Mytilus edulis: one gene and its partners. The protein of the gene in region 3 purifies or fractionates together with the protein of the main gene of each other region. This does not show direct contact. Links are inferred from orthologs where the notes say so. Each region holds a gene or a part of one and is shown on either strand. Other genes may lie near its edges. The genes, in order: DNA (cytosine-5)-methyltransferase PliMCI-like, ATP-dependent DNA helicase Q4-like, NAD-dependent protein deacetylase sirtuin-1-like and DNA topoisomerase 2-binding protein 1-A-like.

Region 1 (7,854 bases), on a different chromosome or scaffold from region 3:
TGCAAGATTGTAAATTCGCAACTTCCGGATCCATTTCCTGTCAGAATAACATTGAAAATATTCGATTGCACATGGTTTTGAACAAATCTACCTGAATATTCTTATCAGATATTCGATAACACGATGAAATTAACATTGAGCATATAGGTAAGGGTTTGGTAGTACAAACAACTACAGCGTAAAAAAACTGTGCCACTTCACATGTTTCACTTCTTTACGTTCGTTAAATCAGAAGATAAATACAGAGAACATCGAATATCGATTAACTGCGTCTCTTATACGCTTTCTTTTAATCTTATTCACAATTACTTTCAAACGCAAAGACGACAAACATTAAGTTTTGTACGATGACGAAGCGGACCCAAAAAAAATCCGAAAAAACAAATTCTTCCAAAAAACGTCAAAAAAAGAATTTGAGTCGGCGGGTTTATTTTGGGTCGGTCGCGTTTGGGCAAACATACAATCTTTTTATTTTGGCCTGAAAAGGAACAAAAAAGTTTGGATTTGAAAAATATTATGAAAGAAAAAAATGTAAACAGCACCACACACAACAAAGTACCTTTTACCTGCAAAATACGCCAGTGTGAGAAAAGAATATTAAACAGCTGACTATTGAAAACTATTAAATCTAATATATCAAAGTTCTGCCAACATTTATTGTATTACATGTACCTCTTCAATTTCTTGTTTTTTAGTATTTTTCTCCTTGGTCACTTCTGATTTCTCTTCTGTCTCAATATCTGCCTCTACCTTGATTTCATCATTTACATCTTTTAACTCTTCTTTATTTTCTACTTTTTCCTCAATTAGAGATCCATTTTTACCATTTTCTATATTTTCATTATTCCCATTGTGTTTTGTGATACCATTAGATCCATTTTCTTTTTCCTCCATATTACTTTTTTCTGTGCCATTTTTCACAGAATTGCCATTTGCCAAAATGTTTGATTCAGTGAACTTCTGCAATAACTTTCCTAGTTGTTTAAAATAACCTTTCTGTAAATATATTTTTAAATTATAATAACATAAAATTGCATGCATGTTTAAATTAGACAATTATTTTCAGTTGGTAAATAAATCAATAACAATTTAAAAAAATATTTTCAATTTTTGTTTTTGTTACGTTACTGCCTTTGTGAAATATGTTCCATATCATCTTTTATTCAGTTTCACAGATTGGTTTTCACTCCACTGGTTACAAATGTAAAATATTGTGGGAAACTTTAAACTGAATCCATTTCCTCTTTTATAGCTTTCCCTCTGTGACAAAAACATTTGTACTACTTAGCTTTTAAATGGTGAATACAAATATTTTCTAAATAACCTTGTTTAGTTATTGGCAATCAGTGTAAATGAAGCTAAAGCTCTTCAACTGTTTTTGGTTTTATATATCCTTGACTTTCAATTATTTGGCTTCAAGTGTTCCTGATGAAGGTAAATCCTGAAAAACGCTTTGACGAAATAAATTTATATGTGTTGTTTTTATTTCTAAGGAGGACTTAGTTACATGTACAAGTATATGTATAAACCAATTTTATACAAGAATTATTGTAATTATTTTTTTACAATAACATATATTGCTTGTCATTACCTCAGTAATATTTTCATCTTTCAGCTCACTTTCCAGTTCCTTGATATCTCTTTTTACTCCTTCAGGTATAATGTCATTTAAAACTTTGCATTTCTTTCTCCAGTACCCCTGTTCATTATAAAAAAAAACAATCTTTTAAAGAGGCAAGTCCCTCATAAAAGCAAAAAAGATAGAAAAAACAACAACAAAAAACAAAGCAAAAGTGACATCACATGATATTTTAATGAGTAAATATTTAAATGGGTTAATCTTTTTCATTACTGCCTACAATTATCATTTTTAATGGACTAGACCTACATGTATTTCACATTGAAGATGATCACAAATTGTCTGAATAAAGACACTGGTTAAAACTAAGGAAAATTCGAAATGAAATTTCACATGATCATTATCTAACATTATCCTTCATCACTTACAAAACTATGCTTTAATCATGTTAATAAAACAGATTCAATCCAACTGTCACTTACCTTCTCAGTGACATCACCATCTTTATACTCTTCTTCTAAAACCTTTAACCTGCAAAAAGATATTGATAAAAAAAATTTTATGAAATTTCAATTCCTGCATTATTATTTGAAAGAACAATATTACAGTTTACAGACACAATAACGATGATAATGATGATGATGAATAGCTGATTATCTTTTAAATGTAATATGAATATTAACCGTGATTTATACTATACTGTCACCCTTAGTTAGTTTTTTATCATGCAAGTTAACAAGGTTCAGTGTAACAATATGCAAGAACAATTCCTAACTTTCAATATAAATGAAGCTGAAACTGCATATCAAAATAAGAAGACACATCACCCTAACAAGACATTTAATAATTTCTAGCTCCCAGCCACCCAGTCTGTGCTCCAAGATAATGCCAGAGGCAGATTTAGGGAAGGGGGGGGGGCATGACCCCACCCCTTTTTGTTGAAAAAATTTGGTTCTTAAGTGAATCATCTATATAAGAGCAAGCAGGCCCCCTATCATGGCAGTCAATTGACCCCCTTGTGGAAATACCTAGATCTGCCCAGGCGCGGATCCAGAGGGGGGTTCCGGGGGTTGGAATCCCCCTTTTTTTTGGACGATCAATGCATTTGAATGGGGACATGTAATTGGAACCGCCCCTTTGTCCTGGGTTAGGAACCCCCCCTTTTTAAAATGGCTGGATCCGCCCCTGCTGCCACTGATTGCTCCAAATATAACTTAGAGCTTGATGATAATGTTTTATGGGCATTCATAGAAAAAAAGGCTGCCACTTTAAAAGATCAGAGAAATCAAACCTGTCTTGAATATCTGAGTTTTCCTTTTCTTCAATGTCTATTTTCCCTGGCATTTTTGAATTCTTTTAACCAAAGAATGAACAGAGAAGTCAACCTTGTGTTTAGTTGCTTTCCCGCGAAATATTGGCCTATTCCATAGGGAAATCTAGACAATTAAAACTTCTTTTGAAAATTAAATCATATTTATTTAAATATCTTTCTTATTCCAATCAATTTGCTTATGAATATTTTATTTCCTAAATTGATTATTTTTCATTTACTGAAGTGTAAAATTGTATTTATGCTTTTTCTTTAATCTGTTAATCCCTTTTCCATGAAAATGGACTAAACCGGAAGTGAAGAATGTAAATAAAGAAGTTGGCGGAAAATATGATCGTTTGCTCTTTGCTGGTTCATGATATTGTAAATTTTCGCTAAATATTTAAGCATTCCTATCAAGTCTAGAAACAACAGTGGAATCACAATTACTGATTTAGAATACAAATTTAGCTCACTCCCCGAACAAAATGTTTTAAAAAATCACTAAAGTAAATGAACTGTGCTTTTAATTTCATTTCTGAATTCTAGACTACTCTTAATATGTCACAGTCACTTGTTTCTGTCAATGTTGGGTTTTACTATCCGTAATTTTTCGTACGGGTATGGATAGTAAACCCCACATAATTTTGACAGAAACAAGTGCCTGTGTTCTCGAACACAGAACTATACCGTAAATTTAGTTATATTGGATGTAGTTTTATTTTGGTTTATTTGGTGCCTCCAATGAAATTGCCAAAATTCAACACATGAAAATTTATCAAACACTAATTGAAACGCCAAAATTGCGTACCTGTACAACAATATTGCTATGTTAGTTGTTGGAGAAAACATTTTATGTTATCAGGCCATAAAAAAGAATAGGTTTGTTTGCCCTAGGATTTGTATAGTAACGATACAAATCCTTGGTTTGCCCAAACCCTACCTACCCAGAAAAAATCAGCCTACTCAAATTCTTTTATTGTCCTGATTTGAAGAATTTTTTTTTCAATCAGATATGAAGACTAATAAACACCTGATAATTCAATTTCTTTAGAAAAAAAAGGAAAATGCCTACCTACCTACCCACTTTCTCAACCTTGAGTAGGGTTTGGGCAAACCAAGATATTTTTAATTGTGGCCTCATATCTTCCGTATACATGGTATATTTACTACAAATCTATACATAGTTAAATCTGCAAATGAATACCTGATATAATTTGACAACATTACTAAACAATTTTTAATTAATTGTCAATTTTCGGAAATTATCCACACATGTCATAAATTGCCAAGCTATTGCTAATTAGACGCCGTTGTTGGTAATTAGAATATCAAAAGCGTGGGGTGTCTTCCCATTTATCCAACTTTTTAAAATAAGGTATTCTCATTTAGCCAACTTTTTATTTTTGTTAATTATTGGGTTGTTTGTTTAGTAATAATAAGGTGTCTTTCTAAAATTTTATAATAAATTTGTTCCTGTATGTTTTTATATTATTTAAGAAATATATATAAAATAGGCGATAGTAAACTTGTTACATTTAATTTTTAAATAATATAAAGTTAAGTATATTTTAAATAATAAATAAATATTTCATCATTTATACAGAAGAAACCCACAAATCAGTAATATTTTTATATTAACATTTTATGAAAGTATATAAATTATGACTGTCTTTATTACTTTTTTTTAAATTGTAGAAGGTGCATTTTACTTTTTTGAAAACAATTAAACGTGTAGGTTTCATGAATGAGATTGCTGCTACTGTTGTTCCAAAATTTAAAAAATCAATTGGACGAAGTTCCAAAATTACACACACCAAAATAAAACACATGCTTTTTGAGAGAAAACCACCAAAATATCCTGACGCCAAAATTTCCCAATTTACGGTATAAATAATACAAACTGTAAATGTTCTATCCATACATATACAATATTTATTATTTTAGACTAAGGGAGAAGGTTTGGATCCATTAAAACGTTTAATCCCGCTGCAAATGTTTGCACCTGTCCTAAGTCAGGAATCTGATGTACAGTAGTTGTCGTTTGTTTATGTAATATATACGTGTTTCTCGTTTCTCGTTTTGTTTATATAGATTAGACCGTTGGTTTTCCCGTTTGAATGGTTTTACACTAGTAATTTTGGGGCCCTTTATAGCTTGTTGTTCGGTGTGAGCCAAGGCTCCGTGTTGAAGGCCGTACTTTAACCTATAATGGTTTACTTTTTAAATTGTTATTTGTATGGAGAGTTGTCTCATTGGCACTCACACCACATCTTCCTATATCTAAGAGTGAAATAACAATTGTAACATGTATCATGTGTATATCATTAAGTTGTTGTGTAGGACATTAAACACCCTAACTAAATCAGAAAACTAAAATCCCCTTCAAGTTTATAGAATGATGTTGATTGTTATACAAACATCATCCATAGAAGAGCTGCATAATGATATTAAATTTAGTTTATCATCGTGACCTTCAGTTGGAGTTCATATTGACAGATTACAATTATAGGTTTAAATGTTCCAGTATTGCTAACATGATCCATTTAAATTTTTGTCTTGCCTGCTAGGAAAGTCCCAGAATGTGAGGCATTGGGATTGCAATCCTGCGACTGCTGCAGAGGTTTTAAGTAAACTATTTATTAAAAGCCTTATAATTCAGAAAGTAGAAAACCTGGATAGTCCATACATGAACATGTACATTGCAAATACAAATATTTTATTGGCACATACATATACCTTAGTTTACAAAGTTTCTGTCTGTCTCAGGTCCATTGTCCTTGACCTCATTTTCATTGATCAGTGTAAACTAAAACAAAGTATGTATTTTTGTCAACATGGTCAAGTTAAGATAAAACTAGAAATAGAATTTGGATATGGGTTTCTTGCAAGTTTCATTTCCATCAGTTAGGGTTCACCTGTCATAGACCTCATTTCATTGGTCAGTGATCAAGGTTAAAGTTATGTCGTCAAGACTGTACATGTATCTCAGATACTATAAGCATTAGGTCAATTATATTTTGTGTTCTATTGTATGGAATGATAATTATAAAGTGTACATGTCTGTCTGGAAGGGTTCATATGACCTTGGCCTCATTTTCATGGTTCATTTGTCATTGTTAAGATTTATGGTATTGTTCCTCATGTACTATTAGCTATAGCCATATTGCAATATTTGGCGTAAAGATGATTGTAAGGTGCACATGTTTGTCTGGCATGTTTCATCTGACCATGACCTCATTTTCATAGAACATTGATAATGTTAAGTTTATGTGATACCTTGTGATTTTACTATTAAACTCTTCATATAACATACTTTTAACATGATTTCAATTATAAGACATTCGGGTTGTGCACTCTTGTTTACATTTTTTATATAATTTACATGATTATCCAATTGAATAGTGTATCACTCAGCATATTGTTTTCTTTAAAAAAAAAAAAACCTACCAGATTGGAACACATATGAAGAATACTCGCTAGAAATTTAACATCTAACTTTGTAAAAAATATTAGTAGATATACTAATACAGAAAGTGAAATATCTATTTCAGGAGATGAAGTTTATATAGATGTCACAGACAACCTTTCTTGAATCTGTGGTCAGCTGGGACCATCAGAAATGTCAACAGAATCTTGATGAAGCCCTACCTAAACTTATTGTATCCTTTGATAAAATTGTCTTCAAGGTAGATGGATGGCTGGACCTTTTTCTGGACTCCGGGATTGGGTGTTTTTAAGCTCTGGATTGCGAGATTGATCCTTTCGGGATCCGAGAATTCTTTTTTTCGAATTTCGGGATGTTGGGATTTTAATTTCTTCAAATTCAGGACCTCAGGATTTCATTTTTTAAGCCTGGGATTTCGGGATCAGGACCCCTCTGCAAGTTTAAGCTGTTGGTTAAAATTCCTGTGAACAATTTGCCTGGGCTGAATGACAAAAAAATGTAATTTTATATGCTTGAGCAGAGAAAAGGTGAAAACATTTTAAAATGTAAAATGTTTTTGTATATGAACATATTTACATTTTCATCCCACTTCAGTTCTTTAATATTAAGGGTAAAAGACCTACAATGGTACAACTTTATACAAGGATTCACTAAAGTGGCTGTCTAATTTGTTTAATTTGCAGCACCTACTCAGTTACTGAAATTAATGTGTGTGTTATTTGTTCCTATCCTGAATGTAAATTAAATATTGCAAATACATAAAGTAAACAATCAATCCTATAAAGTGTATGGATTGATCACAATTATTAATGTTTTTCTTTGAACATGCTTCTTTTGATAGAAAAAGAATTCTTTCCTTAATTTGCATTAGGATTTTCTACAGAATGCAGAAATAATTCAAGAAAAAGTTGGTAAGTCTAGAACAAAACATTGAAATACTTATGTCATGTCATGCTGAAAGTGCAAACATTAACATGAAAAGATAAAAATGATAAGGTACAATGTACCTCATGCAATAAATAATGCTTTGAACTATGGCTCTATGGTTGTGGAGATACAGCATAAAAGAATAATGTTATGAGCATTTATTTTTATTGATAGGGAAAAATTGGAGTGGAGATGCCACAGGAATGGGCAATCAAAGCACAAAATGTATGTGAATACAACAAAATGACTTAAAGTAAAAAGCAATGCTTATTCTCTAAGCCCCATATACCTGTAGTATGGGAATTATAATTGTTCGAACAATGTGCTTGTTTCATACCAACAACCTTTCACTTTTTAAAGCAATGAACTAAAGCATTGTTGGCATAAATGAATGACCCTGTCTATTTATCTGTCTGTCTCTCATATTTGCAATGCTAACAAACTGTATCAATATTGGTGAAAGTTTACACAGTTGTAGAACACTATCAAATGAGATGATCATAGGAACATTATCATGATTAAACACATTAAAGGGGAGATAACCAAAATTCAAGGACAGGGTATCATTCTTGTGAGTTCGCTCACAGTTCT
Region 2 (7,771 bases), on a different chromosome or scaffold from region 3:
ACATGTACCGAATGCTGATTCACTACATGACACAATAAGCTGTCAATCATTTCAAAAAATCAATAATCGTGCTATCGGGGCATTGAAATCTTAACAGATCGATCAGTTTCCAGTCCTGTTACTGTTAGTATATTATGGGGACGAAGTCCCCAATAACAGTAGAAAATTCAATAAAAAAAAAAATTTGGGATAATTTCCCGAATTTTTCATTGTACTAATGAACTCAAAATCGTTCAATTTTTTTTATGTCATGTTTTGAAATCCCGGACATGCGCAGAAATGTACAATGTACTTTCTTTTTCCGGTCTCGTTTGTATGAAACTTTGAGTAAAATATATATTTATCAGTCTAGTATAAAATAGGAAGGAACGCGCAATACCAATTTCATTTTTAATAATTCCTTGATATGAAAAAACGTTACCTGATGATAGCGTTTCTTTGTTTACATTGCATATGACGTCATAATTTAAATAACGTCACAACTAAAATCCCTAACAACAGAACCAAAATCGGAAACGTTTCGGTATTTCCGTTTCTTTTTTTTTCAACAAATATTTACATTTAATCGTCCCCATTTACAGGTAATGCCTGCCTCATATTAGTTCAAGGTACAATCAATACTAAAATAAATTTTGGTGTCTGAATAAAAAAATATTTACATATTCACAAATGATTTACAAACTGACGAAGATGCCTAAATATAATGACTTTGGTACTACTTTTTAACTGATAATGTATGTGCATGTAAAAAATCACATTTTTACATGTTTAGATAAAAAGTAAAACTATATTAAAAACATTGTCCCTAGCACTAGGCCTAGTAAACAGACATATTTTTTGCTATGGTCTGTCAAACAACACCACTTCGGCACTTGTTATTTACAAACTTTACCTATGGAAAGGGAAACCTTGACCATCAAATATGATAAAATAAATCAGGTGTGGACAGTGCTAAAGATTGTAAACAATTATCGCATGTTTTCAAATGGGCGCAGCCATGTTGATCTATTCTAAATGCAGGACTGGATCTCGGATAAGGACAACGTTTATATTCCGCGTTACCAAAATTTGGAAAACAATTGTGAAGGATTTTCTTATTATGGGACTATAAAATCAATGCATTAACCCCAGGTTTAGACTACTTTCTCATTTATTTTCAAATAAAGCATATTGCGTTTGATAATGACATCTAGTCAAATCGGCACTTGGTTAAATTGGCATCTGGTCAAATCGGCACCTGATATACAAATGCACTTTTCTCATGATTTTTTCCCCCTATATAACTTTGTGTTATATAAAAGTATAAATTTCTATATGTAATTTCTCTATACCTTGTCAAAATGATGGTTTATTGAAAATAAAAGATATGTAGGAATTTTTTCTGAGACGAGTGCCTGTGCTGGTAGGTAAACGGACAGAAAGTCACAGGACTAAAAGTCACAGGACATAAAGTCACAAATTTGATAGGACAAAAAGTCACAGGACAAAACGTCACAAATAATTTGTTGACAATTGATTGGATATATTGGAAAAATATCTTGAAATATTTACTTTTTAATACAAATATTCATATTAAAGTTTAGGAAATGTGTCATTATGATTGAAAAAATAAGATTTATTTAATTTTAATCATGCAAAGGATATATTTCTTAGTACATTTTTTTTTCTATTAACAGTGATCATCTTTGATAATTTAAAAAAATATATAAATTTTGTTTACAAAGTTGGTTTATATGCAATAGTTTAAGAAAAATACAAAAATGTTTTTGTGAAAATACAAGCATTATTTTCTTTTTTTCTTTTTTAAAGAAAATAATGCGGAGAAAAAAATGAGTTGTGACTTTTTGTTCTGTGACTATTTGTCCGTGACTTTTTGTCTGTTACATTTTGTCCAGTGACTTTCTGTCCTACATTTGTTAGTATAATAGTCCAAGGTATTTTACAAAAAAAAAAGAATAAAATAAAGAAGCCGGGGTTGTCCAGAAATATTAACGTATGATTAACACTTTTCAGGGGGTTTTCCGGTTTTTGTATGTAATTTTGTTCAACTTAATGTGTATTCAAAGTATTGGACATTTGTTATAAATGCATGTTTTACCCAGTTATGCATTTTCAATGATTGTTGTTTAATGCTGTTTTTCAGTAAACTCATGATTAAACAACATCTTCGGTAAAGGCTTCACTGTTTTTCATTTTTAACATCACTGAATAACTACCTGACGGATATATATATATAGATTATTTGCTGTTGATAGTGGGGTATGTTTCTTTTTGATACAGGCCCTGGTTGATTAATTTATATTCCTTGTGTGTGTGTGTGTGTGTGTGTGTGTCATTTTAAGGTTTTATGAATTGTTACATCTATCCACTGGCAGGAACATACTATGTTTGATATACTGTTCCCAGATCTATCGGTATTAAGCCGAGTCAGCCCATTATAATTTATGCGAGTACATTTTGGAATATGGCCTAAGCTCGTTTATCACATGTCATCTGTCATGGGAACGCTTGGAATTTGCTTTTACGGAATTCAACCATATCAACGTTAGTTAATAAATAAACTCATCATATCGGAAACAAGGAACACAATTTTGTATTTGCCCCAGACGCGCGTTTCGTCTACAAAAGACTCACCAGTGACGCTTGAATCCAAAAAAGTTTAAAAGGCCAGAAAAGTACGAAGTTGAATAGCATTGAGGACTAAAAAGTCCTTAAATTTTTGCCAATTACACTGAGCCAAAGTAATCTATTCCTGAGGTAGAAAAGTCTTAGTATTTAAAAAAATCAAAGGTTTGTAAACTGTTAATTTACAATTATGACCATATTAATGATAATTCATGTCAACATAGAAGTGCTGACTACTGGGCTGTTGATACCCTCGGAGAATAAAAACTCCACCAGCAGTGGCATCGACCCAACAAGTGGCTTAAAGGCAGTGTTCGTAAATAGACTCACCATCTAGATACCAGGATTGAATTTTGTGTTTCTGCCTAATGCGCGTTTCGTCTACAAAAGACTCATCAGTGATGCTAGAATCCACTGCTTGAGTACGCAGGCACAGTTTTGGATTCACTTTTTAACAACATTCATGTAACAATTAGATATTGTGCAAAGATGATCAGCCTTATCTGAAATGAACGACTACCGCGTTTGAGAGTGGACACCTCAAACCCCCTCCTACGTACGTCAGTCATTTGAAACAGCTAGGCGATAGGATGGCGAGATGAAGTTGGCAATAACAACACTAGAATATTATACCGCATCACTAATAACTATAGGGGCATGTCGCATATACGGCACCAGAACATCAACAAAATTATTTATGAAAGGGAAATTTTAAAGTAATAGTTCGTAATAAGCAGTAAGTTTGACCCAAATATGTTAAAATAAGCTCTAAACATCAGTGATGTATTATTCACTTGTAAGTCATGCCTGCCAACTGTCACTATTTGCGCCGGGGATATTTCCCCCATGAAAGCTTCCAAATTTAAATTTGAATGCGGAGCAATTTTGTCAACAATTTTAAACAAAACAATAAATTTCACCATAGCTGTAGGGTTTTCAAAGTATGAAGAAGCCGAAAAATAACAGTTTTAAAATACATTAGAAGGCCGCCTTGACGATTTTGTAGAGCCAACTTGCACACAAAACCCCCAATGGGCATTTGAAAAATTGGAAGGTATGGTAAGTCAATAATCGGCAGCCTGTGGAATCCGTATTCACGTGACCTTCAATCTAATCCCTTAGCTTAAGACTATGATCTCTATATGTAATAGGCATGCTTAGCTGTAAAAAGGAAAAGAATACCGGTCATCATTGAAAGGGAAACAAGGGTTAACTATTTCGTTGACTGATTCGATCAACAAACAGTATGCATTATACTACCGGCATCATTTTTGTATACGCATGTTTAAAATCTGCAATATCTAACCAAACAGACAAATTAAAAAAGTCACATAGAAAAAATAATCAGATGCACGTGCTTTTGATATCTATTTCAGTGGCGGATCCAGGGGGGGGGGGGGGGGGGGTTCCGGGGGTGCGCACCCCCCCTTTATTTTTGCCGATCAATGCATTTGTATCGGGACATATGTTTTGCACCCCCACTGCACCCCCCCTTTTGCCCTGGGTTAGCACCCCCCCTTTCGAAAATTCCTGCATCCGCCCCTGTATTTATATCTATACATAAGTTTATTATCGGTTGTATGACCGTCGGCAGTCGTTGGAGGTAATATCGATGGCACGTTAATTAAATGGTGGTCAACACTTAGATACACACAAAATGCTGATACATATCATAGAGGCCCATGTATTGTTAATCGTTAATTTTGGTTGACGTTTTGTTTATTATAAATTAAATGTGAGATTTTGAGATATATCAGGAAACATGGATTTGGCAGCTTATGCTTCAGGTAGTTACAGTCACATCTTCTTACCTTTGTTGAAAACTAAATATAAAATACTACCAACGTTACCGTGATGACCATATTATGATTTTGTCCTCGGAATTCGGTATTTTTGTAATTTTTCTTTTTACCTTTACAATTGTAATACATATCATATTTAAACAGTATATGCAAGATATAAACACATCATCTACAAGTTATCTTAAACAAGTTGTTAAAAAATTTAAATCATACGATAGCGGTAAATAATTTCACAAAAATTGAATCAACACTTTATCATATCGAATGTACACTTTACTGTTCTGTACAATCTGGTTTCATTGTAATTTTACCTACGGATATCAACAGTTTAAAATCGGAAACCAGTTATGTTGAATTAAATATTGCGGGAAAGAGAACTTGTTGACAAATGGTTCAAATTGAATTAAACATCTCCAACAGCGTTATCAACTACTTAAATCATGTTATGAACATTAATATATACGTACACTGGTTATAAGGTAATTCAATAAATACACTAATTATTGAATTTATAGGCAATTTCTTCTATAATCATGAATTTTCATGAAATAATTGCCATTGGACATAAGTCATTAACTTAAGCAAGCATTAATCAAACAGTCTCAGATAAAAAAAAAACCACCATCATAAATATATGAAAAGATACCAAGGCAGCACGGGCATCTATAAAAAAATCATTAACAATATTGTTAAACCAGGCATGCGCCGGAAAGTAATCATCAACCAGTTGATGTTTTTCTGTATATAAAGAAGAAGAAGAAGAAGAAGAAGTGGAAAAACCAACAACACCATAAAAAAAGGAGAAAACTATGAAACTATTTTACAACTATTGCCTTTATTTCTTCGTATTGGTGGTCTCTTGTTTGCCATAGAGGTCCAGAATGCGTTGGATCTAACTCCTGTGTGGTCTGACCGAGAACAGTAAAATCGGTTTTTGCTTCTGCACTCCTATAAAAAAATAAATAGATATAGGAAGATGTGGTACGAGTGCCAATGAGACAACTCTCCATCCAAGTAACAATTTATCAAAAGTAAACCATTATAGGTCAAGGTATGGCCTTCAACATGGAGCCTTGGCATTATTTAAGGAATAACCGTTTCACACATGATATTGGATATGTTCCTTAAGTTATAACTAACATCCACTTCCCTTTTCACCACGAATGTGACCTACAATGTACCCTATTAGACTACATGTATTTACTGGGTTTGTAATAACATGAGCAACACCATGGGTGCCACATGTGGAGCAAAATCTGCTTACCCTTTCGGAGCACCTGAGATCACCTCCAGTTTTTGGTGGGGTTCATGTTGCTTTGTCTTAAGTTTTCTATGTTGTGTCTTGTGTACTATTATTTTGTCTGTTTTTTTATTTTTTACCCATGGGGTTCTTTATTTTCTATCTATGAGCTGATCTTCACCATTACCTGAAAAAATTGTGCAACATCACAACATAGAAAGACTAAAATGAGTAATTAAAAAATATCAATTCCTTTAAGCATGTTTAAACAAAGATTATTGTTTGTTAAGTTTCTCCTATATACCATGTATACTTTAATTTAAACATGCATTTAACAGTTCAACATTTTATGTATTTTAAAGCTATCTCTTATTTTTTTCAGATATATATATATATATATATATTTAAAAGAAGATCATGATGATCAACTAGAATGAAACAGGATGTCTGGAAGTAGTTATGATGAAGCTCAAAAATTGAAAAAGAATCTGAAGAACTGGGAAGTTGATTTTATATCAAAGCATGATAGAAAACCTAAAAAGGTAAGCATGTCTGTTTGAGTAAGTTCATAATTGAAATTGTAACAAAATGCAAAAGAAATGTTCATGCATCAGTTAAATATCTGCACTAACTTCTTGTATTCATATAATCATCTGGTAATTGACCTCCTGTGTGTCTATAACATATCGTTTGTCAACTTTGTACATTTCAACAGCATTCAGCCTGCAAATGTTCAATGTGAAATTTCATGATAATTCAATACAACTTTGAATTATGCAGTACATATGTATAAAAAAGAAGATGTGGTATGATTGCCAATGAGACAACTGTCCACAAGAGACCAAAATGACACAGACATAAAAAACTATAGGTCACTGTACGGCCTTCAACAATGAGCAAAGCCCATACTGCATTGTCAGCTATAAAAGGCCCCGATATGATAATGTAAAGCAATTCAAACGAGAAAACTTAAAAAAATGAACGAAGAACAAATATGTAACACGTAAACAAACGACAACCACTGAATGACAGGCTCCTGACTCGGGACAGGCACATACATGAATAATGAGGCGGGGTTTAACATGTTAGCGGGATCCCAACCCTCCCCCTAACCTGGGACAGTGGTATAACAGTACAACATAAGAACGAACTATAAAAATCAGTTGAAAAAGGCTTAACTCATTAGATGGACAAAAATACATTTTTATTTAAGATGTTCATGTGCGGATGGCAGATTTCTAATATTTGATATTTAATATGATAAATTTCTACATTTGAAGATCGGCAATGATTGAAATATAGATTTTTAAAACATGAGATGTCATAAATGTTTATGGTTAAAGAATTATAACTATCATATTACACTATCTAAATTATGTTTATTTGATTCTTATTTTCAGGAAGATATTGATGCAGCTCCACAAAACATACAAGGTAATGATCATTGTAACTTTAAAAGACCTACCAGTAATTCAAAAACTTAATATTTCACATGTTTGCCAACAGTTAAAAGTCCATGTCAGCTTTTATCATAATGAAGAAAAAACAATGTATAGATTTGGTGTGTCCCAATCAATATTTTTGGTTTTTCTTCACTAGGATTTCTCAAACCCAGAATGTGATGTCCAAATGATATACAAGTAATAGAGTATGCTAGGAGCTATATGACCAAGAAGGGACTTAAAATAAATAGCCAAATACATGCATGATCAACTTTACCCTAAGGAAGTTGGGAAAGAGAAGGGAAATTCAAACTCAATAATAGAAAAATATTGCCATGAAAAAGAATAGATTAAAAGGCAAAACACAACATAGAAAAACTAAGACTGAGCAAAAGAATGTTGTAAGAAAAAACTAAAGACCAACAACACTAAATACATAGGACAACATAGAAAACCAAAGACCAACAACACTAAATACATAGGACAACATAGAAAACTAAACACCAACAACACTAAATACATAGGACAACATAGAAAACTAAAGACCAACAACACTAAATACATAGGACAACATAGAAAACTAAAGACCAACAACACTAAATACATAGGACAACTTAGAAAACTAAAGACCAGCAACACTAAATACATGGGACAACATAGAA
Region 3 (7,172 bases):
GAATGATAAAGAAAGTGACAATCTGATTCTCTGACATTAAGTTACCATAGATATAACTCCCATAAGAATTGTCAAATCAAAATGAAGTTTTGTTGGTTTCTAATTACAGTTAAAACCGATTTATAAATAAATGCTAACATAGCATTCAGTTGTTCTAGAATTTGTTGCAGTCTAACATTTAGACCAATGAATTAAATACATCAAAGGTGAATCTGTTAACTATACAGAATGTTTGAATATGTAGCCCTATCAGCTCTGAATTTGATCAAATGGCTCTTGGAGGAAGAGTCAATTAACTGGGATTAAAGGTAAATAAATGTAAAAGCCTAAACAAACCTGATGTAGGTTTCCATGCTTCTTCAGATAGTCCTGACAGATTACTGATCTCGCTACAATTGTCAGAGTTGTCTGTTTGTGCCTCATGAACTTGCTGTAAACATACAAATACAATACATGATAAGGAACTTTGAATTATATCATTTTTATTATATTTACACAAAAGCGTGTGCATTGTATCTCAGTTTTCAAGCATCTGACATGTATGTACGTAGTTGGCTGGATTTACACTTAGAAAAGGTCATAGTTCTTACCTTTACCTTAATTTCAATGAATGACATTCATTCATAAATGGTAAATTAAGTCACAAATTAATCAAAACCTTTACCAAATAAATTCATAGATACAATTATTTGGTTGGAAATTTTGACTGTAATTGAAAAATTCAAAAACAGAATATCAAATCCTAAATCTTACTGTAATGCTGTTTATATACATTTTTTTAGGTCACAAACTTAGATACGATCCATATAAATTATTTCTTGATCCTATGAATTAACTTATTTTTTAAGATGATCAATTAAACAATAGTAAAATCTTTAAATATTGTTTATAGATTTTGTTTTTAAAATTAAAACACGACTAAATATACATTGCTTGACATGTACAGTTATGCAAACTCATGATATTGCATCTTGTCAGTACTGGCAACTTAAATTTTGATATTGCATAAGAACATGCGTTTCCATAACTGTTTGACCTTTTACACTAAATCTGTTGGATGTGTAATGGTTTATTCTTTGGTCCTTGGAGAAAATAATTGATTTATCAGTTGTACATGTTTGTAGTTGGCTTTCAATAACTGTAACTTTGGTGTTTTGTGTCCATATTTTCATGTTGGTGGTTTTTGTGCCTTGTATCAATCTTTTGAGTTAACATTATTGAGCAAATTGCAACTGATTTTACAATTTGTTTCTATTGTGTGCTGAGACACTTCTGTTTCAGATTAGGGTAAGGGCTGCAAACATATTAAACCCCAAAACATTCTTGATGTGTCCCTATCAGAAACCTGGAGTAAAATGGTGTTGTTGTTTTCATGCATGCCGGTTGTATTTGTTTATTGTTCAATTGATTTGTTATCAATAAGGCTTTTAGTTTTCTCGTTTGAATTGTTTCATATTTTTCATGTTGGGGCTTTTCCTGAGCTGACTAAACAGTATGGGTTTGTCTCATTGTTGAAGGCTGTACAGTGCCCTATGATTGATTACTACCATTTCATTTTAACCCTGGCCTGATGGTGGATAGTTGTCTCATTGTCAATTTTGCATGTACATGTACTGTACATGTACAAAAATAACATGTCATATACCACATCTCCTCATTTTTATATGTCATTTTCAAACATCATGTATAAATGTATTAGCTTACCTCAGTATTCCCAGCTTCATTATCTTTTGGTATATTAATATTAGAACATCCTTGTTGTTCTGAAAATATTTAAATACAACTCAAAATTGGGATTACAAGCACATGTAGACCATATGAACAATGTAATGACACAACTGAGCAACACAATAATATATACTAACGGGGATGGAAATTACTTCCAAAGGTTTAGTACATAGCTAACTGGGTCTCTAACATTTAGGAATATGACACAGGTTGAATTTTATAAAGACCAGTACATGGAACTTAATGCAATCTCCCTGATGAATCAAAGTCAGGAGTTTATTAAAGGCTTTAAAGCAATGAATTTTAAGTCTATATGCATTTGAATTTTTCAAATAGGGTCAATTGACATAAACTGTTAATGTCATTATTTATAATCAAATGACCTAAAGTTAGTACTGACTTATTAATACATGTAGTCCTTCTATAATGTTATAAGGTTGAAAAATTTTTTTAATATCCACTTCAGCCCTATTTTTTAATTTGGATAAGCAAAACATCTTGATAATTGATTTTGTTCCAAATTATGCAAAGGGGTTGGTGAAGTTGTACACATGTACAACTGATTAAATCCAACACATTGTTTTGTCCAGTGAACCCATGCAAAAATAATGAACATATAAAAGGGTCAAAAGATCTTCCAGAACCATGTGATGCTCATTATTGGTTGTTTTACTTTTTATAGCATGGGCAACAATTCTTCATCTTTATACAAAAGATCACAAATACAGTCCACATATGAAATACAGTTTTTATTAGAGCTTTGGTATCGAAAAAAGAAATAAACTCAAATTGAAAACAAAGTGAAAGTAGCAAACTGTTATAGAGTTATTCCCCTTATTCTATAAAAACAGACTGGATTACAGCCCTTTGATCTATTTATAAATAATTTGCAACTTTGTTTTTATTTTCTGACAGGTGTAACAAACAGCTTCAATAAATATTTTAATGTGAAGTTACATTGTTGGTTAAACACCTTCCATGGATAAAAAATGTTTTCTTTGTCTGAAAAAAGTAAAAATCTAATAATAGGAATGAATCATCAAAATAAGGGAGGTAAGTTTCGGGATTTCGTAGATTTCAATAATAAATAAGTAACATCCCGCTTATATATTACACATTTTCAATACATCGATTGATGCTTTGTTTTATTACATGTATACCTGAATCATCAGTACCCTCTTCATTGAGTTTTTGACGTTTGAAAGGTGGTTCATTTTTTAGGGGTTGGTCCGCCATTTTCCTCGATAGCTCTGCGCAGTCCTTCGACGCAACTTCCTGTTTCTAATTATAAATAATCATCATGCTCATTTTGTGAAGGAGAGTTTCCCTACTCAGTTTTAAGTTAAACTTTAAATGGAGGCCATATTTAACTACGAACCTGACGAAGAAGAGGATTTCTATAAAATTCTTGGCTGTAACGAGCATTCTAACGTAATTCAATGACTGTTTTTACAACTTACACAAGTAGAAACTAATGCAATTTATTTTCCAATATCTACTTTCACTTTAGTTTGTAACAGTCCTTTATAATTATATCAAGTATTTGTATTGAAATCCTTGTACTATTGTGCAATTTGCATAATTTATTTACTCAAAGGAATATGTGCCTATGTAAAGCAAAATTATATCCGGGTGAAATTTGATCCGGAGGAAAAAATGTCACAGTAGTTGTTGTTATTTTTTTATCTGTAGGAAAATATTTCCCGGGGATATGTTTTCCTTTGCCGTGAAATTCTATCTGGGTAGTTAACTTATTGAATAGTTATTAGAAAAAACTTATCCTTTAAATGCAGAAATCGATGGGTCTCTGTGAAAACTGTTAAAATATGGAAAATAAAGGTTGGCAGGTAGGTGAAACTTACATAAATGAAGAGATAAATGAAAAATGAACAGATTGATGCCCGATTTATATGATTCCAAGGCCCTCAATCGGCATGAGAAGCGACGAAGCAGGGCATCTATTTTGGGTGGGCAAATATCCACTTTTTGATATGGGAAGAGCCCTGATGTCCCACGGCCCCAGCTTGTCTGGCAAAACAGCCGTTGGACGTCAGAGTAATCTCGGACTACCTTTAAAAATACTATGAAATAATAATAGTGTATTTGAAATAAAGCGAAATTGTTAAAAAAAAATTGTTTATAATGGGAAATAATTTCATAAATTATCCTTGAAAAAATTTCCTGAAATATTCAAGTCAATATCATCCTTATAATAAGAAAATTATCATGAAACATAGGGAAGAAAACCAGAAGTAATTTCAAAGATCGTAATTGTGAAAATAATATAATGATTAAATAAGGTTAGTGAAATACATGTAAAAGTGAGTTGTTTTCAGATCTCAGTACAAATATAAATTTAAAAGTAAGGTAGAAATATAGTTGCATTAATACTGTTAACAGTAAAAGAAGAATTTGATTATGATGATATTTAACTATATAAATAGTTTTGTCTGGGGACAGAGATGTAGTTGTTGATGATATGGAAATCAGATAAATCATAGCATAATAATATATTGGAACAAAAGCATGCTTAACAGCTGGATAGTTTTAACCTGTGAATTGTTATCTGTCTTATTAAATCAAGTTGTAAGTCATCTTTTTATATAAATGAATATATAAAAATAAGATTCAAGGAAAAATTTCACTATAAAATAGATTCAGAATATATTATATTAATATCTATAAAATATAAATTGCTCATACTTACCTCCCTTTGATAAATTGTGCAAATTTGGTCTACCTTTGTGAAACATTTTATAATTATAGTCAGGTATATATTGATTGTGAGTAACTTACATAGTAGTTAATGGGACTCTATTTTACACCGTTCTGTGAAATAAAGTACAGCAAATATATACCGGTACATACTATCCGCATAACACAGATAGATTATCACTCCTCTGGAAAAAATCAACCTGTAAAATACCATGCTTGGAAAAAAATTACCGGGACAAATTATCCTCAGGATAAAATATCACAGAGGAAGAAATAAACCGTTACACCTTCTTTTTCTTCCAATATTTTTTGCATATATTTTTCAAATAAACGTGCACACAATGTTGAGGCTCCTATGTTGACCAATTGGCCGTTTCAGAATCTAATGCATCCTGGGTAATATTTACAAAAGTGTACACCAAAAGGTCCTGATTGGTTTAAAATGTTATAAACAATGGAAATTTATCCAATGACGTGACATTATTTTCATTTTGGGGTACGAACATTATGAAATTACCCATGATTCTTTTGATTCTGAAACGGCCAATTGAAAAAGTTGAAAGATAGGGCAGCTTTGGCAAAACTAAGGCTAAGTGCACACAATCTTGAAACTGAAAGAGGTACCCGGTAGATACATGCAAGTTAACAGAGAAGAAAGGTTGTGCAAATTATGTCAATAAAAATATAGAAGACGAAAAACATTTTATCTTGCACTGCACAAAATATGAATCACAAAGAAAATTTCTTATATCAAATTGTCCTATTTTAAAAATTATGACAAACAATCCAAAACTGAAGATGAATATATCAAACTACTACTTAATAGCAAGTGTAGAAAAACACTTAGATTAATATCATCTTTTATTAATCAATCATGTTTGAATTAAGGACAAATGTCCTTATAAATGAGTAATATGTATAGTATTGTTTAATTGCTGCATCATTACTATTTGTATACTTGTTGTACATGTTGTATGGGCCATTGCCAATTATTGTAATTGAGTTTGTGCCAATAAAATATTTGTATTTGTAAAAATATGGTTTGATTAAAATCAAGTTACTGTAATGGTTTTAAATAGGCAGAAAGATGATTTTAAATACACAAATTGATCTACCACCCAATACAAATTGAACACATTGAAATGCCTAAAAATGCATATGGAAAAGTAAGTTCCTTCAAGTTATTTTAAGGAGTAAGTTCGGTAAGGGCCTTATTTGGCCCCAATTATAAAATTGAATGGTACAAGGTAAAATATGTTTTAAGTTGTCTTATAGACATGTGAGAAAGTAAAATAGAACTATTTGTGTCAAAGTTTTATTCTAAAGCGTTGATTTCTACATCCAGAATAGGTCAAAATAAGAGATTTTGACGAAATTTGTAAAAATTGGCCAGATTTCAACCAAATTTAGGACCAGGAAACATAGAGTGCAGACATGGAAAAACTAAATATTCAAGTTAAACATGCAAAATGTCATTAAAAAAATTGTGTTCAGATATCTTTTTTGTCGATGTATGCGCTCCATGTTTCCTGTCCAATAATCATGCAAAATTTGGTAAATTTTGTGAAAAATAAAAATGAGTAGTGTTTGTGACGTCATCAGTAGAACACAGGGATGTAAATTTTTAACAAAAAGGCTCATTTCCTATCTAATCAATGTATTAGCTATGATTCATTGTGATATTGGTCAATAAATGCTATTATGAAATTTAAGGTAAAAAAAGGGGTTATTTTAGGGCCTTATCGAACCTACTCCTTTAATGTTATTAAAAATGTATTATTATTATTATTTATTATTCTTATACAATTTGTGTTCTCCCTTGTAGACTGTACAGATAACAACAGAATATAAAGCCAGGGTTCTGAGTTGTCACCCTGATAAACATCCTGGAGATGAATCTAAAGGTAAAGATCATAAAATATATATAGATCAAGATATATCAGCACATTTTTATACGCCCGTCAAAATTTTGACGGGACGTATTATGGTATACAAATGTCCGGTGTCCGTCCGTCTGTCTGTCTGTCCGTCTGTCTGTCTGTCCGTCTGTCTGTCCGGCGTAAACATGTCGCACTGTAACTTGAGAACAACTTATTCAAATTTCATGAAACTTAACATAGTTGTTTCTTATGATGGTCAAATGATCTGTATACTTTTTGCTGAAAATAAGATTAAAACTTTTTGAGTTACGGCACTTTGTAACTAAAGCAGGGGTGTGTTTTTTTCACATGTCGCACCATATCTCAAAAACGATTCTTGATTATGGCTTAAAACTTTAAACACTTCTTAGATATGTTAATCTTAATATCTGTATACTTTTTGGTGATGATTCAAAATTTTATTTTTGAGTTATTTTGTAAAAAAGGGGGAGGGTTTTTTTACATGTCGCACCATATCTCATAAACGATTTATGATTATTGCTTAAAACTTTACACATGTCTTTGTTATATTATTCTAAAGATCTGTATACTTTTTGGTGATGATTCAAAATTTCATTTTTGAGTTATTGAGTATTTTGTAAAAAAGGGGGAGGTTTTTTTTTACATGTTGTGCCGTATCTCAAAAACAATTTATGATTATTGCTTAAAACTTTACACACTTCTTTGTTATATTAATCTTAAGATCTGTATACTTTTTGTTGATGATTCAAAACTTTATTTTGGAGTTATTGAGTATTTTGTTAAACAGGGGAGTTTTTTTATACGCCCGTCAAAATTTTGACGGGACGT
Region 4 (7,824 bases), on a different chromosome or scaffold from region 3:
ACTTTATTTCAATAACACAAAAGTAAATATGAAATAATAACGAAAATAAGGATGCATTCAAGAAAAATATACTTACCAAATGACCGTTTCCGGTCAAAAATCTCGTCAGTTTTAACTAAGCATATCTAGACGGCAATAATTTTCTATGCAATAAACCGAAAGGCCACTTGTAGAGCTATGCATATAACCGGACAATTTAACATTAGATGAATGGGAAATGGTTTTGTGCAGGAGAAAACTATGCAATTAACCGAATTATGCTATTAAGCGGTATGCAATTAAGTGGAATCGACTGTATAAGCTACATGTATTTAATCACTAATTCTAACCCCTCTATCAGGACATCAAACAGAAAAGCATTATCTCATGAAATTTGATTCCTAACTTTAGATATCTTTGATACATAAATATATTCATTAAACAGGAAGATGATGGGCAATGAATCAAAAAATGTGTCACACATGATCTTTGAATAATAAATAATTTCATTTGTGTAAAACTACAAGTACAAACTTACTGATCCAATAGATCTTCCTCTTTGAGCTGCAAAATAAAAATAAAATGCTGGAGTCTGATATAAAATACAAACTAATCAAACTTCAGCACAAAAACAAGGAGATTGAAAATTTATCATAAAAAATAAATTCAAATGTTGTAATATTACTTGCACTAGTTAGCCTTTACATTTAACAAACATTATCAAGTTCAACAATGACAAATAACATCCCCTTTACACTAAAACAATTACAAGTTCAACTATTGCAAAGCTTTGTCTAAATTCTAAGTTACACTTATAAAACATGGCAACATCAGTTTGATTCAAAATGTAAAAAATGTTCAAAATGATATAAACATGATAAACATGATGAACATCAGTAGAATACTATTTCATGTATTTATAGAATATTATTCAAGTTGTTCAATGAATTACTTTTTATTGACTTACGTGTAACTGGTCGCTCTTGTGTGTGTGTTCGTATGAGAGGTAATGCCATCTCTATTAATACTGGTTCTGTAAGAGATAATGCATGTAAATTATCAAAAAATCATTGCATAAAGTCTGAATACATGTATGTAAAGATAGATGGATGATGTAAACAGCTTGTACAAACACATTCAGATAAACCATCAATAAGTACTGTATAACTGAACATATTGATCATGATTGATTATCAAAATATTCAACAGCAATACAATAAAATATTATAAAAAAGAAATTGTCCTGATTCATGATAGGCATCAGTCATGGGTAATCAACCAAATTACTCTTTTACCTTTTAAAGCAGTTTCTGACTAACAATTTAAATAACAGAAAATAGGAAAGATCTCCTTGCCCTTTTTTAAGATGGTGGTCCATCACACTTGTTGATATATATATATATATATATAGTGGATCCATTTGCTCCCAAAACACATAAGCCCACTGGGTTCTTTCGAATTTGCACCCTATTTTTGTTCAAAGAAAGGCTATATTACATCCCAATATTTATATTTTCAGGAGAAAATAAATCTTAATCTTATGAATGAATTATTGGGTTTTTTTTGTTGTGATTAATAGATGTTTTATCCTTAAATGTTCATGATGTTGATTATTCATAACTGATTATTTGGTATTAAAAAGCTAATATGGTATTATTGTTATGTATTTTGACATTCATTTTTGTTGTTATAATGACCTTGAATTACAATTCCTATATATCGTCATTATTATTCCTGATAAATATATTTTTTAATTGGGAACAGATTGACTTTAAATATGGGACAGGATCGACTCGGGACAGACAACATGGAAGCAAGACATGTAGATGGTTGTTATGCTGTACATGATGCTGTATAAACTATTTACCATGTTTTTCACTTGGAAAAAAATATTTATACAGTCTTCACGCTTAGTGGCAGCCCATGATGGTAAAATTGCTCTGGGGCCTGTAAAAATCAGACCTACAGGCCAACATAATCTTAACTAAAACTTTCCAAAAATTGAGCTGTGGGCCTGTAGGTTTAGCAGTTCAGCGTGAAGACTGTTTATATCATATAAATGTGCTTTATTTGTGGCATTCCCTTCATGTTCCTTCACCTCAGATGTCATCATATCATACGACTAACAATGATTACTCTAGGTAGAAATGATATTTAACGTTAACCATATTGCTGTTTTCTTGAGTACAGCGCCAAATGTTTCCAGAGAGCATGATTTTCTTGGCAAAGCCATATTGTCTTCTCCAAGACTTAAGCTGGGGACATCTGAGACGCATGGCAGCGCTTTAGATCAAAGGGTTAAGGTGCTGTAGTGTAGAATCACGCTCTATAGTTACACAATTCAAGTATGGCGAACGCAACCTATAAAAGTCATGGAAGTGGGGCTTTCAATTCTAGAACCCTTCTGGATAACCCTTTACAGCTTAACCCTCTTGCTTCCGGAGGGATACATATGTCAGTCTACAACCACTGTGCTGGAGGGACACATATAAATGTATGTCCATGTTTTGATTTATGCAAGCTTCTGATCATTGCTGTTCCTCTTTCAAAATGAAAGACCGAACATTAATATGTTTCTACAATGGCTCTCACATGTAACGGTCATTACAACATGACGTCATATATTGATTGACGTCATTGTTTGGCATTTCTTGTCACAAACGTCGAGTGGTCGTATTTTCTGGCATATGAAATGCAACCCTGAAAAACAACTGGCAGCAAGAGGGTCAAGAGTGCAAAATTCATCACAGAATTTGCACTGCCACTAGGATAAATAGTTAATAATTTTATGAAATTATGTCTATTATTTCTTGAAAAAAATGCATTTTGAGCTACAGACTGTCTACTTCTACTTTTACCGGATAATGGCCACAATCAACTAATTGAATATTTTGCCATGACTTCGGTGCGCATACGGACCCCTCCCCCCTCCCCCCATATTGTTTGAATTTAGTTCAGCTTTGTCACCGAGGCTTTAAAAGCCTCGACTGACGGCGCTGACACTACCCCAGGAGGTAGACTGTTCCAATCTTTGATGGTTCGTGGAAAGAAAGAAAATTTCCGGTAATCATTTGATGCTGCTGGAATTTGGAAGCTTCTGTCATGCATATTTCTTGACAATCGTTTAGGTGGAATCAAACGATCTTCCTTTGTCACAGCAACTTTCTCGTTTACTATTTTAAAGAGCATGGTTAGTCTTGCATCTTTTCTTCTTTGTTCAAGTGATCTCCATTCTAGGTTGTTTAACATCTTGCTTACACTTGAGTGATTTTAGTGTTTATTCATCACATAACGTGCTGCACGTCTCTGAACCATCTCAATTCGGTCTATTTCTGTTTTGTTGTATGGATCCCATACAGACGTTGATCCGATGTTCAGGTTTTGTTTTAGAAAGCCGATTGTTCTATTGGCTTTGTTGCAGATGTTGTTAACATGGTCATTCCATTTCATTTCGAACGTGAATGTGCAGCCTAGGTATTTTGCGCTTTTGACAAGTTCTAAAGTGTGACCATGTAGTTTGTATGATGTTGCAATGGTGTTGTTTTTCCGGCTGATGGTGAGTACATTGCACTTGTCTGGGTGGAAGGCCATTTTCCATTTGGTTTCCCATATTGCCAATTTATCTAGATCTTTTTGTAGGTCGTTGGAATCTTTGTCGTTTGATATTGTAAGGTAGTCTATGGTGTCATCAGCAAATAGGCGAATAGTAGATTTAATTCCATCAGGCATGTCGTTGATGTAAAACAGGAATAGCGAAGGCCCAAGGACTGAGCCTTGGGGTACCCCAGATTCTACATCAATATGTGATGAGCTCTCTCCATCCACTACTACTGCTTGTGTCCGATGTGATAGGAAGCTAGCAATCCACCTATTGACATTTCCTCTGATTCCGTAGTGTTCGAGTTTATGAACGAGTAGACTGTGACCAACTTTGTCGAAAGCTTTAGAGAAATCCATAATTAGTACGTCTGTCTGTTTACCTGCACTCATGTTTTTAGTGATGTCGTCCACAAATTCAATTAGCTGGGTTTCACAAGAACGTTTGGAGCGAAAGCCATGTAGTAATGGGTATAGAATTTGGTGGCGATCTGCATGGTTCATGATATGGCTTGTGATTATGTGCTCTATGAGTTTGCAGCATATGCAAGTCAGAGATATTGGTCGGTAGTTCTCTGCTCTATATCTCTCGCCTTTCTTGAAGACTGGGCTAACATTGGCATTCCTCCAGTCAGATGGTACATCCCCTGTTTCGATTGATGTTTGGAAGATCAGTGTGAGTATAGGGGCTATTTCCTTCGCTAGCTCTTTCAGTAAATCTTGGTCTTATGTCATTTACTTCCTGTCTATTGCTTAGTTCTAACCAAGTCATCATATTCGTTTCTAAGATCACCTGTCAGTGTGAGAATTGATATAATTGTCAGTAATAATTTCTTGCTGACCCGAATGATGGCTAAATAATTTATTCAACATTTGTTCAATGCCAATTCCAATGGGCAAACAATATTTTTGATGAGTTTTCAGCGATTCGAGGTGATTAAAATATATGCAATAACACGTTGGTTGGGTTTTGTCATTAATATATTTGCATACGATCTGATTTAAAGCATGTTTTTAGGGATATAACTACCTTATTATTTCTCACTTTTCGGCATTGACAAAAGAAAATGAAATCTCGTAAATTCTCGTGACGCGATGTATGATCATGTATACAAATGTTATAATATTTTTTTTTAATTCCAATAATTACAATCTGTGTGAAACCCTTTACATTTTGACCACGAAAATTGTTACTAAATTAAAATTAACTTAAGAAAATTAATTATATATTATTTATCACGTTTTCGGCGGGATTTGCACGGCAGGCGGTTTTTCGGAAATCCCCGAAATTCCGAATTACATTTATTTGTTTTGAAAGTTTAAGTTAACAAATGATTTAATGAAAACAAAGGTAAAAAATGAAACAGATGTCATGAAATTTCAATGAAGAAACAAACATAACCCTTTAACTGTGTCACAAAGCCACTGAAAATAACAGTAGCATTTTCCCTAACTTTTGACAGTTTTACAAACAACATGCTGTCAGTGCATCATCTGTGAAAATCTCAAAACATAAAAGTTTAACATGAAATTGATTGATTAATACAGATTTTTTTAGTAATTTTGTCACAGGATTTTTTTACGGAGTTTTTGCTCTGTCTACTGATTTAGTTTATTTGAAAGGAACAGTTCTCTGACTATACTTTCAAGACTTTTCAGCCACTAACTGCAGAAGTTGCTATATCCTACTGTATAACTAGATGTTAGAGGAAATGAAATAGCTGATAAACTAGCTAAAGAGGCAAATCAAATTCAAAAAGAAGCTCATATTACAGTAACTAAACAAGATATTAAAACAGCAGCAAGAATTTTAGTAAATAAAAAGTGGCAACATAGATGGGATAATAGTGATACAGGAAGATTTTATTATAACTTTCATCAGACTGTCAGCAAAAAATCTACATTTGATTATCCAGAACATAAAACAGCAAAAATTATTAGAAATTTAAGATCCGGATACTACCTAAAAAATTACAAGAACAAAATCAATCAAAATATAGACCCCAAGTGTGAATGTGGTCAATTAGAAACTGGAACATTATTTATTATTTTGTGAAAATTATGAAGAGGCAAGACAGAAACTTATACATGAGATATACTTTAACACAGGATCGTTGCATATTGATTTGGAACTTTTATTGTCAATAGAAAAAAACGACAATGTCTCCGTCTCTAATGAAACACTAATGCGATTGTTGGGTGACTTTATTTGCGAGTCGGGCCGGTTTGATTAATGTAATGTTAAATTTTTAAATTTTTTTTTTTTTTTCCTTTAAATTTTCATGTTAATAAATAAATGTATATATCTTTTTAATTTTTGTAAAAATATGTTAAGCAGTTGCCACCTAGTAGTATATATCTTAAAGTACAAGTGAGTTGTTTACCAGAGTGAAATATATACACGCGAGACTTGAAAAATTACAAGGGAGACAATCCAGTGTCAACAGCGACACCTACAGAATACTGTATTCTAAAATCGGTCATCTTGATGGGAATCCGGGTCCGTTCACCCAGATTCATGTTCACCCAGGGTCCATTCGCCCTGATTTTTATTTTTTTCTAGTTGTTGTCTAGTCGCATTATTTTAAGTATTTGAACAAAGTATTCTGTATTCAAAATATGTTAAAGTTTGAATGTTTTTTTTTAAATTGACAGAATATTTATATTGCCGCAATCAATTTATCATTTTCCCTTTGATTTGCAGAGTAGAAATTTCAATGTATTCATCTTTATTGATATTTGTTAACAAAATAATTGTATTCGGTCAATCACAAATGTATGGCAGTATGACTAGTCTTAGACTTAGTAGAGTATAAATAAATGAACTTGTAAATTTTATCCGTTTTTAAATATTAATCCACCAAAAGACAAGTATCACAACAATCAGTGATTTGAATTATTTTGTCATTGAACAATTAATTATCCTAAACAAGCCTTAAACTTTTAAATATTTCAATATTTCAAGAATATACATGATATACATACCATAGAAATATCTAAATAAGTTAATTCAACTTCAATGCCCTCAATATTAATCTTTTTATAGTAGGGCGAACAGACTCTATAGGCAAACGAACTCAGAGCGAACGAACCTAGGGGGAACATGTTATTAGGGCGAACGGTCCTGATACAAAATGTACCTCTTGATGGTTTCTTCAGTATTTGTGTTTGTTTTTATCACATGGGAAAACTTCCCATTGACGTCACTACTCTTATACCAGCGTTCAAAATTAGTGCAGAGTACGTTATTTTTTTACTCTTCTAAATAAAAAAACATTTCTAAAGATATGTTTTCATTGTTGAAATAAAAATGTTGTATAAAAAAGTATTGTATAAAATGCCATTTTGTTAATGGCTATTTCAAACCTGACTTCTGAATGCCTATTGGCTAAAACATTTCAGAACTTCCCAAAATCCCACTTCCTGCCTCCATATACCTAATCACTATTTATTCCATTCCGGATAAGTTCTAAAATTACACAACTTTTTCATCCAGTTGAAGCTTTCTGGGATCCTGTTTAAACAATGCACCGTGCATGATACTTTTTAATGAGACCTGTTTAAACTACCGTATATATATATATTTAAATGTATATCAATAAAAAGTACAGTAGAAATAACATTACAAAGTATGGCTGAAATGTCCCTTCATCAGTCAGCGATTATTGGACTGTTGTCATCTGTAAATCTTTGTGATGTCCAGTAATAATGCTATAGACTAGAAAACAGGTGTTTTATATAATGTATGTTTTTATTTTAGATGATGCAATGCTTTTTGTTTTTGATAGTTATGTGTGTTAATCAATGCTTATTGAATTTGCTTGTCTTCAATAAAATCCAAGAGTAACTAGCTACCAGTCTTGTGAGTAGAAAAGAAATTCTTTTGACTACAGGCTTTTTACATGGTTTAAGTAAATAATTATTTTAGATCCATTATAAAATTATGGCACCTGTCCCACAAGCAGTCCAGTTCGAGTGCTAGGCCTATTAACAAGCATGGAAAATAGGTTTTAAATTTGCTTTCATTGTTCAACTTATTACAATAAAAATTATTTTTTTCAGCTTTAGATTGTTGTTTAAATAATATACAGAATGTCTGAAGGGGACTTTAAAATGTTCTGCATCAGAACAGATGGCAGCTCTGGTAGAAATGGTGCCACTAAAGCTATGTTTGATGCATATGCAGTAAGTAAATTTATATATAACATTTTCAGAAAATGGCTTCCAATTTTATTTGTTTGTGCATGC

Evidence for each region.
Region 1: the proteins of NAD-dependent protein deacetylase sirtuin-1-like (region 3) and DNA (cytosine-5)-methyltransferase PliMCI-like purify together in Homo sapiens (affinity purification with western blotting; 3 studies listed by BioGRID and IntAct, with this or other methods). This does not show direct contact. The link is inferred for Mytilus edulis from reciprocal best matches to the Homo sapiens genes SIRT1 and DNMT1.
Region 2: the proteins of NAD-dependent protein deacetylase sirtuin-1-like (region 3) and ATP-dependent DNA helicase Q4-like purify together in Homo sapiens (affinity purification with mass spectrometry; 3 studies listed by BioGRID). This does not show direct contact. The link is inferred for Mytilus edulis from reciprocal best matches to the Homo sapiens genes SIRT1 and RECQL4.
Region 4: the proteins of NAD-dependent protein deacetylase sirtuin-1-like (region 3) and DNA topoisomerase 2-binding protein 1-A-like purify together in Homo sapiens (affinity purification with western blotting; 3 studies listed by BioGRID, with this or other methods). This does not show direct contact. The link is inferred for Mytilus edulis from reciprocal best matches to the Homo sapiens genes SIRT1 and TOPBP1.

Annotation. Positions count from the first base shown.
Region 1 is NC_092345.1:50,025,717-50,033,570, reverse strand, and holds the start of DNA (cytosine-5)-methyltransferase PliMCI-like, read right to left. Parts: upstream 3,022-7,854; 5' UTR 2,924-3,021; coding exon 2,871-2,923; intron 2,111-2,870; coding exon 2,062-2,110; intron 1,700-2,061; coding exon 1,592-1,699; intron 997-1,591; coding exon 673-996; intron 1-672. Other genes in the region: FIGNL1-interacting regulator of recombination and mitosis-like, read left to right, coding at 6,461-6,550, 7,208-7,247. UniProt on the Homo sapiens protein: Methylates CpG residues. Preferentially methylates hemimethylated DNA. Associates with DNA replication sites in S phase maintaining the methylation pattern in the newly synthesized strand, that is essential for epigenetic inheritance.
Region 2 is NC_092348.1:88,494,355-88,502,125, forward strand, and holds the start of ATP-dependent DNA helicase Q4-like, read left to right. Parts: upstream 1-4,756; 5' UTR 4,757-4,906; intron 4,907-6,049; 5' UTR 6,050-6,110; coding exon 6,111-6,209; intron 6,210-7,067; coding exon 7,068-7,101; intron 7,102-7,771. UniProt on the Homo sapiens protein: An ATP-dependent DNA helicase which unwinds dsDNA with a 3'-overhang in a 3'-5' direction. Does not unwind more than 18 bp of dsDNA. May modulate chromosome segregation. The N-terminal domain (residues 1-54) binds DNA Y-shaped DNA better than ss- or dsDNA.
Region 3 is NC_092352.1:28,141,351-28,148,522, reverse strand, and holds the start of NAD-dependent protein deacetylase sirtuin-1-like, read right to left. Parts: upstream 3,012-7,172; 5' UTR 2,965-3,011; coding exon 2,889-2,964; intron 1,764-2,888; coding exon 1,705-1,763; intron 431-1,704; coding exon 337-430; intron 1-336. Other genes in the region: dnaJ homolog subfamily C member 12-like, read left to right, coding at 3,082-3,159, 6,269-6,347. UniProt on the Homo sapiens protein: NAD-dependent protein deacetylase that links transcriptional regulation directly to intracellular energetics and participates in the coordination of several separated cellular functions such as cell cycle, response to DNA damage, metabolism, apoptosis and autophagy.
Region 4 is NC_092353.1:31,999,169-32,006,992, reverse strand, and holds the start of DNA topoisomerase 2-binding protein 1-A-like, read left to right. Parts: upstream 1-4,814; 5' UTR 4,815-4,927; intron 4,928-7,638; 5' UTR 7,639-7,668; coding exon 7,669-7,761; intron 7,762-7,824. Other genes in the region: zinc finger protein 1-like, read right to left, coding at 518-543, 947-995. UniProt on the Homo sapiens protein: Scaffold protein that acts as a key protein-protein adapter in DNA replication and DNA repair. Composed of multiple BRCT domains, which specifically recognize and bind phosphorylated proteins, bringing proteins together into functional combinations.